Linked DNA regions of Lepisosteus oculatus. The protein of the gene in region 2 interacts with the protein of the main gene of each other region in a pairwise test. Links are inferred from orthologs where the notes say so. Each region holds a gene or a part of one and is shown on either strand. Other genes may lie near its edges.

Evidence for each region. The genes of interacting proteins can lie anywhere in the genome.
Region 1: the proteins of max (region 2) and unc45a interact in binary tests that used the Homo sapiens proteins (3 or more experiments, as listed by UniProt). The two-hybrid records come from large-scale screens. The link is inferred for Lepisosteus oculatus from reciprocal best matches to the Homo sapiens genes MAX and UNC45A.

What each region holds. Positions count from the first base shown.
Region 1 is NC_090700.1:60,915,816-60,919,569, reverse strand, and holds the start of unc45a (protein unc-45 homolog A), read right to left. Parts: upstream 2,471-3,754; 5' UTR 2,279-2,470; coding exon 2,255-2,278; intron 1,305-2,254; coding exon 1,112-1,304; intron 939-1,111; coding exon 763-938; intron 407-762; coding exon 317-406; intron 1-316.
Region 2 is NC_090703.1:15,579,244-15,582,997, forward strand, and holds the start of max (protein max), read right to left. Parts: upstream 2,760-3,754; 5' UTR 2,630-2,759; coding exon 2,594-2,629; intron 2,324-2,593; coding exon 2,297-2,323; intron 1-2,296. UniProt on the Homo sapiens protein: Transcription regulator. Forms a sequence-specific DNA-binding protein complex with MYC or MAD which recognizes the core sequence 5'-CAC[GA]TG-3'. The MYC:MAX complex is a transcriptional activator, whereas the MAD:MAX complex is a repressor.

The DNA.
Region 1 (3,754 bases), on a different chromosome or scaffold from region 2:
GAAGCTCTCAATCAACTCAATCCACACTACTCTTTATGATATATCTTCGAAGATATAAAACTAAAGAGCTGCCTTTTTTAACTGACGCTTTGCAGCTTTGTATGATATAGCTCTGGTGAAAGAAAGGCATTTATCCAAAACAGGCAGAATCTAAGAGTATACATTTACTGATTTCAACATTTCATTATACATTACAAACAGGTTATGCATTCATGAATAGATCAGGATGTCTTTGTTTCAACATGAACAGCAAAGGCCACAAAAAACCTGTCCCATTTCTCTACCCAGTGATCTCTGACCTCCCCCAATACCACACCTTCTGCCTATCGGAAGGCTGTGAGGAGGAGTCCAAGAGGAGAGAGAACATCTGCTGTACGCGAGCATCTGTGGAGGAGAGCTGTAGAGCCTGTGAGCAAGACAGGAGCAAAGAGATACCAGCTTCAGTCTTAATACCCCTTCAACAGCATTTACATTTGGGAATACAATGTGAATTAAAGGGTTTATTTGAGTAGTAATAATAAGAATTGCTTACACTTATATAGTGCTTTTCTGGACACTCCACTCAAAGTGCTTTACAGATAATGGGGATCCCCTCCACCACCACCACCAGTGTGCAGCCCCACCTGGTGGATGACTGCTATAAGTTTTTTGACTAGTTAATTCTCTAGCTATTAGTCAGCCCCGTTTTTTTGTCAATTTAATTCATAAAGTGTAAACATTTTGTATGCACCATAATGGCTGATAAACCCCCATGCACGATACCTTCTGCTGGATCTGAGCTCCTAACTGCCGCAGTGACTCCTGGAAGGCCTTGTTCTTGGGCTCCATCTGTGCGCACCTCTGGACATCCAAGAAGGCCTGGTCCAAACGCCCCAGCTTCTGCAGCGCCTGTGAGCGGCGGAACCGGGCTTTCACATCCCCGGGGTCGGCGTCCAGCGCTGGCCAGAGGGAAAAGACCAAGCAGGCAGCAAGTGAAGAACAGAGCTTACCCGTCAGTACAGACTAATTTGCTCTCGCAGACTCTAGGCTGGCTCAGAAATGATTGCTTTTCAGGCCTGGTCACATCAGAAGCGCCGTGTGAAAGGCTTAGTCTTCATTTTAGAAGTTGTACCTTTTGTAGCATCGGCCTCTGCCTTGGAATAGTCCTCCAGCTTGAGGTAGCAGGCTGCCCGGTTGCGGTGCAGGACAGCACTCTCTGCCTGGCTGTCACTTAGTCTAAGGGCCCTGGTGTAGCAGGACAGGGCTCCCTGGTAATCTCCATTCTTGAACAGGCTGTTCCCATCCTCCCGCAGGGCAGCAGGGTCCTGGGACACACAAAGCAGACAGCACTGCTAAAGGACACCTACAGCACAAGACTAGACAGGGCTGGGCTTCATCAACGACCTATAGATCCTTAACCCCACCATGCTGGGGTTGGCACTACAGCAGAGCTACTCCAAGCAGGATGAATGAAAGGAACGCTGCTCGTTCTCCTCCTGGAATTGGGAGATACAGCACATGCAATCAACCGAACCGTCTTTGGGAAGAGGGAGAAAATCAGGACAATCAAAGAAAACCTGTGTGATTATTTGGAGCCCATACAAACTCCCCTGTGCCACTCATTGGCCTCTACTGTTACTTCTTTAAGAATATATTAAAAAGCCATTAACCACCCCTTAAAAACAGAGGAAGAGATCACATTTCCTTCAAATGCTATAAGGACAAACTAGGAGCAAAATCTCATTTGAAATGACATCCAGAAGAGTACTCATTTGTGCAGCTGGGCAAGTTAGCAGTACACTTCGAGATACATACGTTGCTCAACGGCTCAACAGCAGTATAACTGGGATTTGGAGCTGTAACTGGCCGCTCTGGAATCCAGAGCGCAATTTCTGTTAAGGGATTATATTTGACACCAATACCAAACTACCGAATCAAGTAATGGCAATGGCCATTAGTTATTAAAGCCATTAAATATGATAATCAAAATAAAAGCTATAGATGTTGGCTCAGGCAAATTAACAGATTGATTTGGTTAGAGTCACGGCGTCACTTGAATACGTGCGAAGTCTGTAACAAGTGAACCCAGATTAGGCGTTCTACACAGCTGAGGTATTTTACACGACTGCTTCTGCACAATGTTTCCATGGTGGGTGTTTACCTAACGGAACAGCGGAGTCTACTGATTTTTGTGTAAACCGGTAAAAACCAAACCTACAGTTACGGCAAACATAATGAATGATTTACGAAGCTAGCAGGCGAGATAAGGTTGTACCTTGTCTTTGCCGTTTACACTCATTCTCTATGATCGCACAGTTTATTGCCAAGATATCTCGCTGCCTTCGCCGAGTTTCGGACAGCTCCACGCGGCGTCTCCAAAGTTCTACTACTCTATAACCGATTTTATTTCCTCATTTCATAGCGAGCTCTACAGTTTATGTGCTATATAACCAGCGAGCACAAGACAGCTATAACCTCTCTTCCTTCCTGTTCTCTGGGAGCGGCGTGATGACGTTTCTAACGAAACCCCGCCTACTTGCACGTTCCATCGCCATAGAAGGCAGCGAGAAAGAGATGCTGTCGGACAGTGGGTTTATCTGAACCATTTTGTTCTACTAGTCTGGTTCCAGTACATTCTTTTCATGAAAAAAAAAGCTTACTGAATTACCTTTCTGGAAGTTGCACTCTAGAGAGCCAACATTTGCAAAACTGTATTATGCATGGGATATTTCAGATTTTATGCAGTGTCATGCAAATTGTGTTGAAGCAGTAAATAAATATCTATATTTAATTATATTTAAAGTTCACTTACAGTATCTTTCTTTGTAAAATTCCTCAGTGTGTTAAGAATCCGGTTTGTCTGAGAGTTTACACCTTGTTAAACCATTTTAAGTCCTTTAAATCCTAAATTGGATCAAGCCCCTTTTGTCACGAAAACGTTTGGGACAGATGATGAAAGCTCGATTATAATCTCGATTAATAAACTCTTCGAACCTTTTCAGTCAGACATTTGGCTGAGATGTAGCCCAGAAACAGCCCTTGTTAAAATATGTAACGAATTTGGGTGTCTTTTAATCCTAGATGAAAGTGAAGCTTTTGATACAGCACTCTTCCGCATCACAGTAACATTCATCTTTTTCCCACTCTTCCTTGGTTTGGCTCATATTTGGAGCCAATTAGTGAAGATGTTTTAAATCTGATGTTGTCCCACTGATGTTGTCCCACTGATGTCTGATGTTGTCCCACTACTCAATATTCAGAACTGGGAACTTCACTAATGGAGTTTGTAACGAAATGTTAGGAGAGATGAAGACAGCCAAGTTCAATCAGCCTCAGCTACCAGTAATTCATAATCAATCCTGATGTCATTTCATCACCCAAGCATGATATTATCATATTACTATAATATAGGTGAGCTCCTCCCCCCCCCAAGTTCTGCAGGGGGCACGACCTCCTCGTCCTGTGGCCAGGAGCCTGGCCCTCTGCCAAGCGGGTTGAGCCAAATCTATTCTGGCTAAAAGAGTTAAACATTACAATACACTTAATTCTCGGCTGTTGTTATTCCTCAGGAATTTTAGCGTTGTTGATTGAAGTGCACATAAGGAGTGTCGCAAAGCTTATCTTTCTTCCACTTGCATAAAATTGCTCAGTTCAGACCCATGCTCTGCTGGTGTGGTGCTGATGCCTCTATTTCATCAAGCTGAAACCGTCGTATGTACTCCCACGGCGCCATATGTGCTTCAGGATGTTGAGAATTCAGAAGCTCATCTAACCA
Region 2 (3,754 bases):
ACTCTTTAACCTGAATCTACTGAATTGATAAATCCTGATTCACATGGACAAATATATCTTGAGAAGGGGCGTTTGAAGGGCATACTAACTTTATTCCATCGTTATGTTCATATTTAATGCTTAATATCAAGGTCTTCAAAATATACTTAAACAAAATCACGTTATGAACTTCTGTATCCTTACGAGTCAGGTAACTGTTCTGAACTTGGGTCTGGTTGCTAGACAAAGCTGTCTCCTAACAATTCCATCGGCTAGAGTAAAACAATTTTTTTTTTACTATATTCTACCATTCTAGTTCCTGAAGTTCCATATTAGGTTAGGTGCCTCAATTCCACAACTTTTCTGTCACATTTCTTAGTTTAACTCATTCATTTTTGGCCCTTTTCTCCTAATCTGCCTTTTTTGAGCAGCTACCTTCCACATTTAGTTACTATACTACCAAATACAATCATCCTTTAACAACTTAAGTACCTATTACAGAACTACAGTGCTTTCATGAATCTATATAATTGCACTTACTGCTTGCATTTAATTAATTTCTTTGTTGAACCCAATAGTAATTCAGATTTCCTTTAAAAACCTCTTAATAAAAGAATCAGAATCAGAAGAATGTCTATTTAACAGGACAACTCAAGGGGTACGTGAATGAGGACTCTCCAATGCTTTTATTTTCACATGCTGACCCTCAATCAACTTGAGAGTGAATCCCTAAATGAGCACTCTGTGCATAAGTTTTAAACTATTTGGTTTATAGGTGAACAAATACCAAATCACATTTCCTTGAGAGAAATGGTAAAGCAGACTACATCACAACAATGGAATAATAAGTTTTTTTAATGTCATTTAGAAAATCAAATTGTAGCCTTATTCTATTCTAAAATATACCTTAGAATGTGACACAATCTAAGGCATAATAAGCAAAGCAGGCTTTATATAGTATTTTAAAATGTATAATAACACTAATTCTGAATTTAAGATTTTTTTATCGTTTCACAAAAAACATAAGCAGAGACCGGAAGAGCAACTTGTTATGTGTATTTTTACTATCGTTTTCAGTGTGTAATTGTGTTCTTGAATTTACAGAGTTAGTGCTAACCATATCCTCTCTTTTCCTATTAAGTGTATTACGCATGCGTTTTATGCCATTTAAAAAACACTTGTAAATAAAATGCACTGACAGAATGGAAGAGGGAACGTGCAAATGTAAACTGTAGGTACACAAAATGGCACGAACAGACTGCAATGTAATCCCCGGTCTTTTAAAGACAAATCGTAGTACACCGATTTAAACATCAAAGTGACTGCACAGACACGTCAAATAATACAACAGCAACCGATCGTTTATTGCGCCGTCAATGTGAAACGGTGTTGAACACCAACGCAACTGAAGCACCTTTAACTTGCCCTGAACACCTTGTATTTCTGCTGGCCACTTCGTTTTTTTATGCCTATCATCTTTAATATTTTTTTTGCTGAAGGTTAAATATCCTCTATTAATCCCCTCCAAAGATCGTAACCTGCATTCCAATTAAGCACTATTTAAAGCAGTATCTACCGGTGCACCGAGATAATGGATTGCTAAACCGAGTATTTAAATTCAAGCAGAAAAAAAGGTATTCCCTAAGAAAATATTTAATTATACGTTGTCGATCTCTTCGGTATGTGCAGCTTAACTATTCCATTAAAGCAGGAAACGTAGCTGCTGAACAGTAGCCTGATGTGCTTTTCGGGTTTTGAAAACAGCCTAATCTGATCTTCACGAAACGAAATGTTATGGTCGGTTCCTACTCATCGAAGCACAGGCAGATCCAGTTCAATCTGTGTATCTGACCTTTTTCCTTCTGATGTTTAAAGCGATCTTGAGCCAAAAACGGTGAAGAAACAGGCAATTTTCGTCTAGGCTAAAAATGGTACGCGCTGTGTCTTGTGGGTTGGGGATTACCCTTTGATGCGTAGAAAAATATTTCACTGTAAATTGGAGTTAAGCAAAACGGGCGTTAAGCAAAACAACGTGAGTTTTTATTTCTACGTCGTTGATTCAAACTCTTCTACGTTTTATTTTTTCATAGGCTTGTGCGGTGGCCTAGTAGGAGTAGCTGTACAACAAGGATGGTTCTCTAATCAGGCTGCTCTTCCGTCACCGATGTAGGTGTCCCCTGCAATTCAGGATCGCTGTCTCTACAGCCAACTCCTCTTTTCCTCTTACCCACCCGGAAATTATACTGAAATGTCAATGCAGTAGCAATTTTCATTTTAAAAAGTCTAAGCGTGATAAAACGTTCCGTATATTACGCACCACAGAGTGAAATCTCGGTGATTCTTCCTGTAAAAAAAACAAAACAGAAAAGTACAATTGTATAATTGTGAGTTAAGTGATAGCTTTAACTCCTACATATGTTGCTTGTATGTAAAAATAGACTCCTTTTTCGATATGCTTTAAAGCCGAAACCGCGGAACGTCTCATTCAGTACTGCTAGTCTCTTCCTAGAACTCTACCAACCAGCAGTCCGACAGCAGCTCAAAATTCAGAAAAACACAAGGCGTTTTAATTCTAAATATTTAATATTCTTCGAAATATCTATCTTCCACTTACGTCACTATCGACCTCGATGTCATCGTTGTCGCTCATTCTTCGATAAAATATTTGATCTAATTAAGAAAAAGCTAAAAAAAATAAAATCAAGTACAAACCGAAACGAACAAACAAGCGAATCTCACTGCAGGGACGAAACGAGATCAACGGACTCTCCACACGTGACTCGCCTACACACGGACATTTACACACCGTGACACGCATGTGCGACAGCGCTTGGAATGCTGGGAAATGTGTTTTTCGAATAACAAAGCCTCTTTCCGTAATACACAAACATTACTTACTGGACTACATGACCCATACTCCCCGCAAATGGGCGCTTCCAAGGGACGTAAAACATGGACTTACCTTTGCAGAAGGCGAGTGGGATGTGTAGTTTACTCAAAAAAATGAAATCGAGGGGCCATGATAGAGACACGTGGATGGCCATTTGCAAGCCAAGTTCTAGCTTGCTTGTCAAAATGCTGTGGGTGATGGCGGTCGTCCATTAGTAACGTGTTGCATAATACTTTTTGTTGATAATTATAGTGCTATTGCTGTCATCCATTCAAGACAGCTTACCTGATACTATGTGTAAGTCATATTTGGGGAAGTCCCAAATATATATATATATTTTTTTGTGGGTTATAATTCACATGATTGTAGATGGGCATCTAAATATGCCTGTGAAATAAATTATATTATTTAAAATTATAATTTCTAAAATTACATATAAGTTAGATTTTCATTGTAGGTGGGAACATGACTTGTTGGAATTAAATACAGAAATTTCTATCTTGAAAAAGTGACAGAATAAAACAAAGGGTAAGAGGAGTATTGAAATCTCTTGGCACCAGAGAATACACTGGACATAAAATGGCATCAGATGCACTCCATAATAAAGTGAAAGGAAATGACAATATATAAAGAAGGGCATGAGATCAATTATGCTGGCCTTTACCCCATCATGGCCTCCTAATAATCCCCCTCTATGAATTGGCTACATTACTCTGCTCTCCTCCCCACTGATAGCTGATGTGTGGTGAGCGTTCTGGCGCACTATGGCTGCCGTCGCATCATCCAGGTGGATGCTGCACATTGGTGGTGGTGGAGGGGAGTCCCCATTACCTGTAAAGCGCTTTGAGTGGAGTGTCCAGAAAAGCGCTATATAAGTGTAAGCAA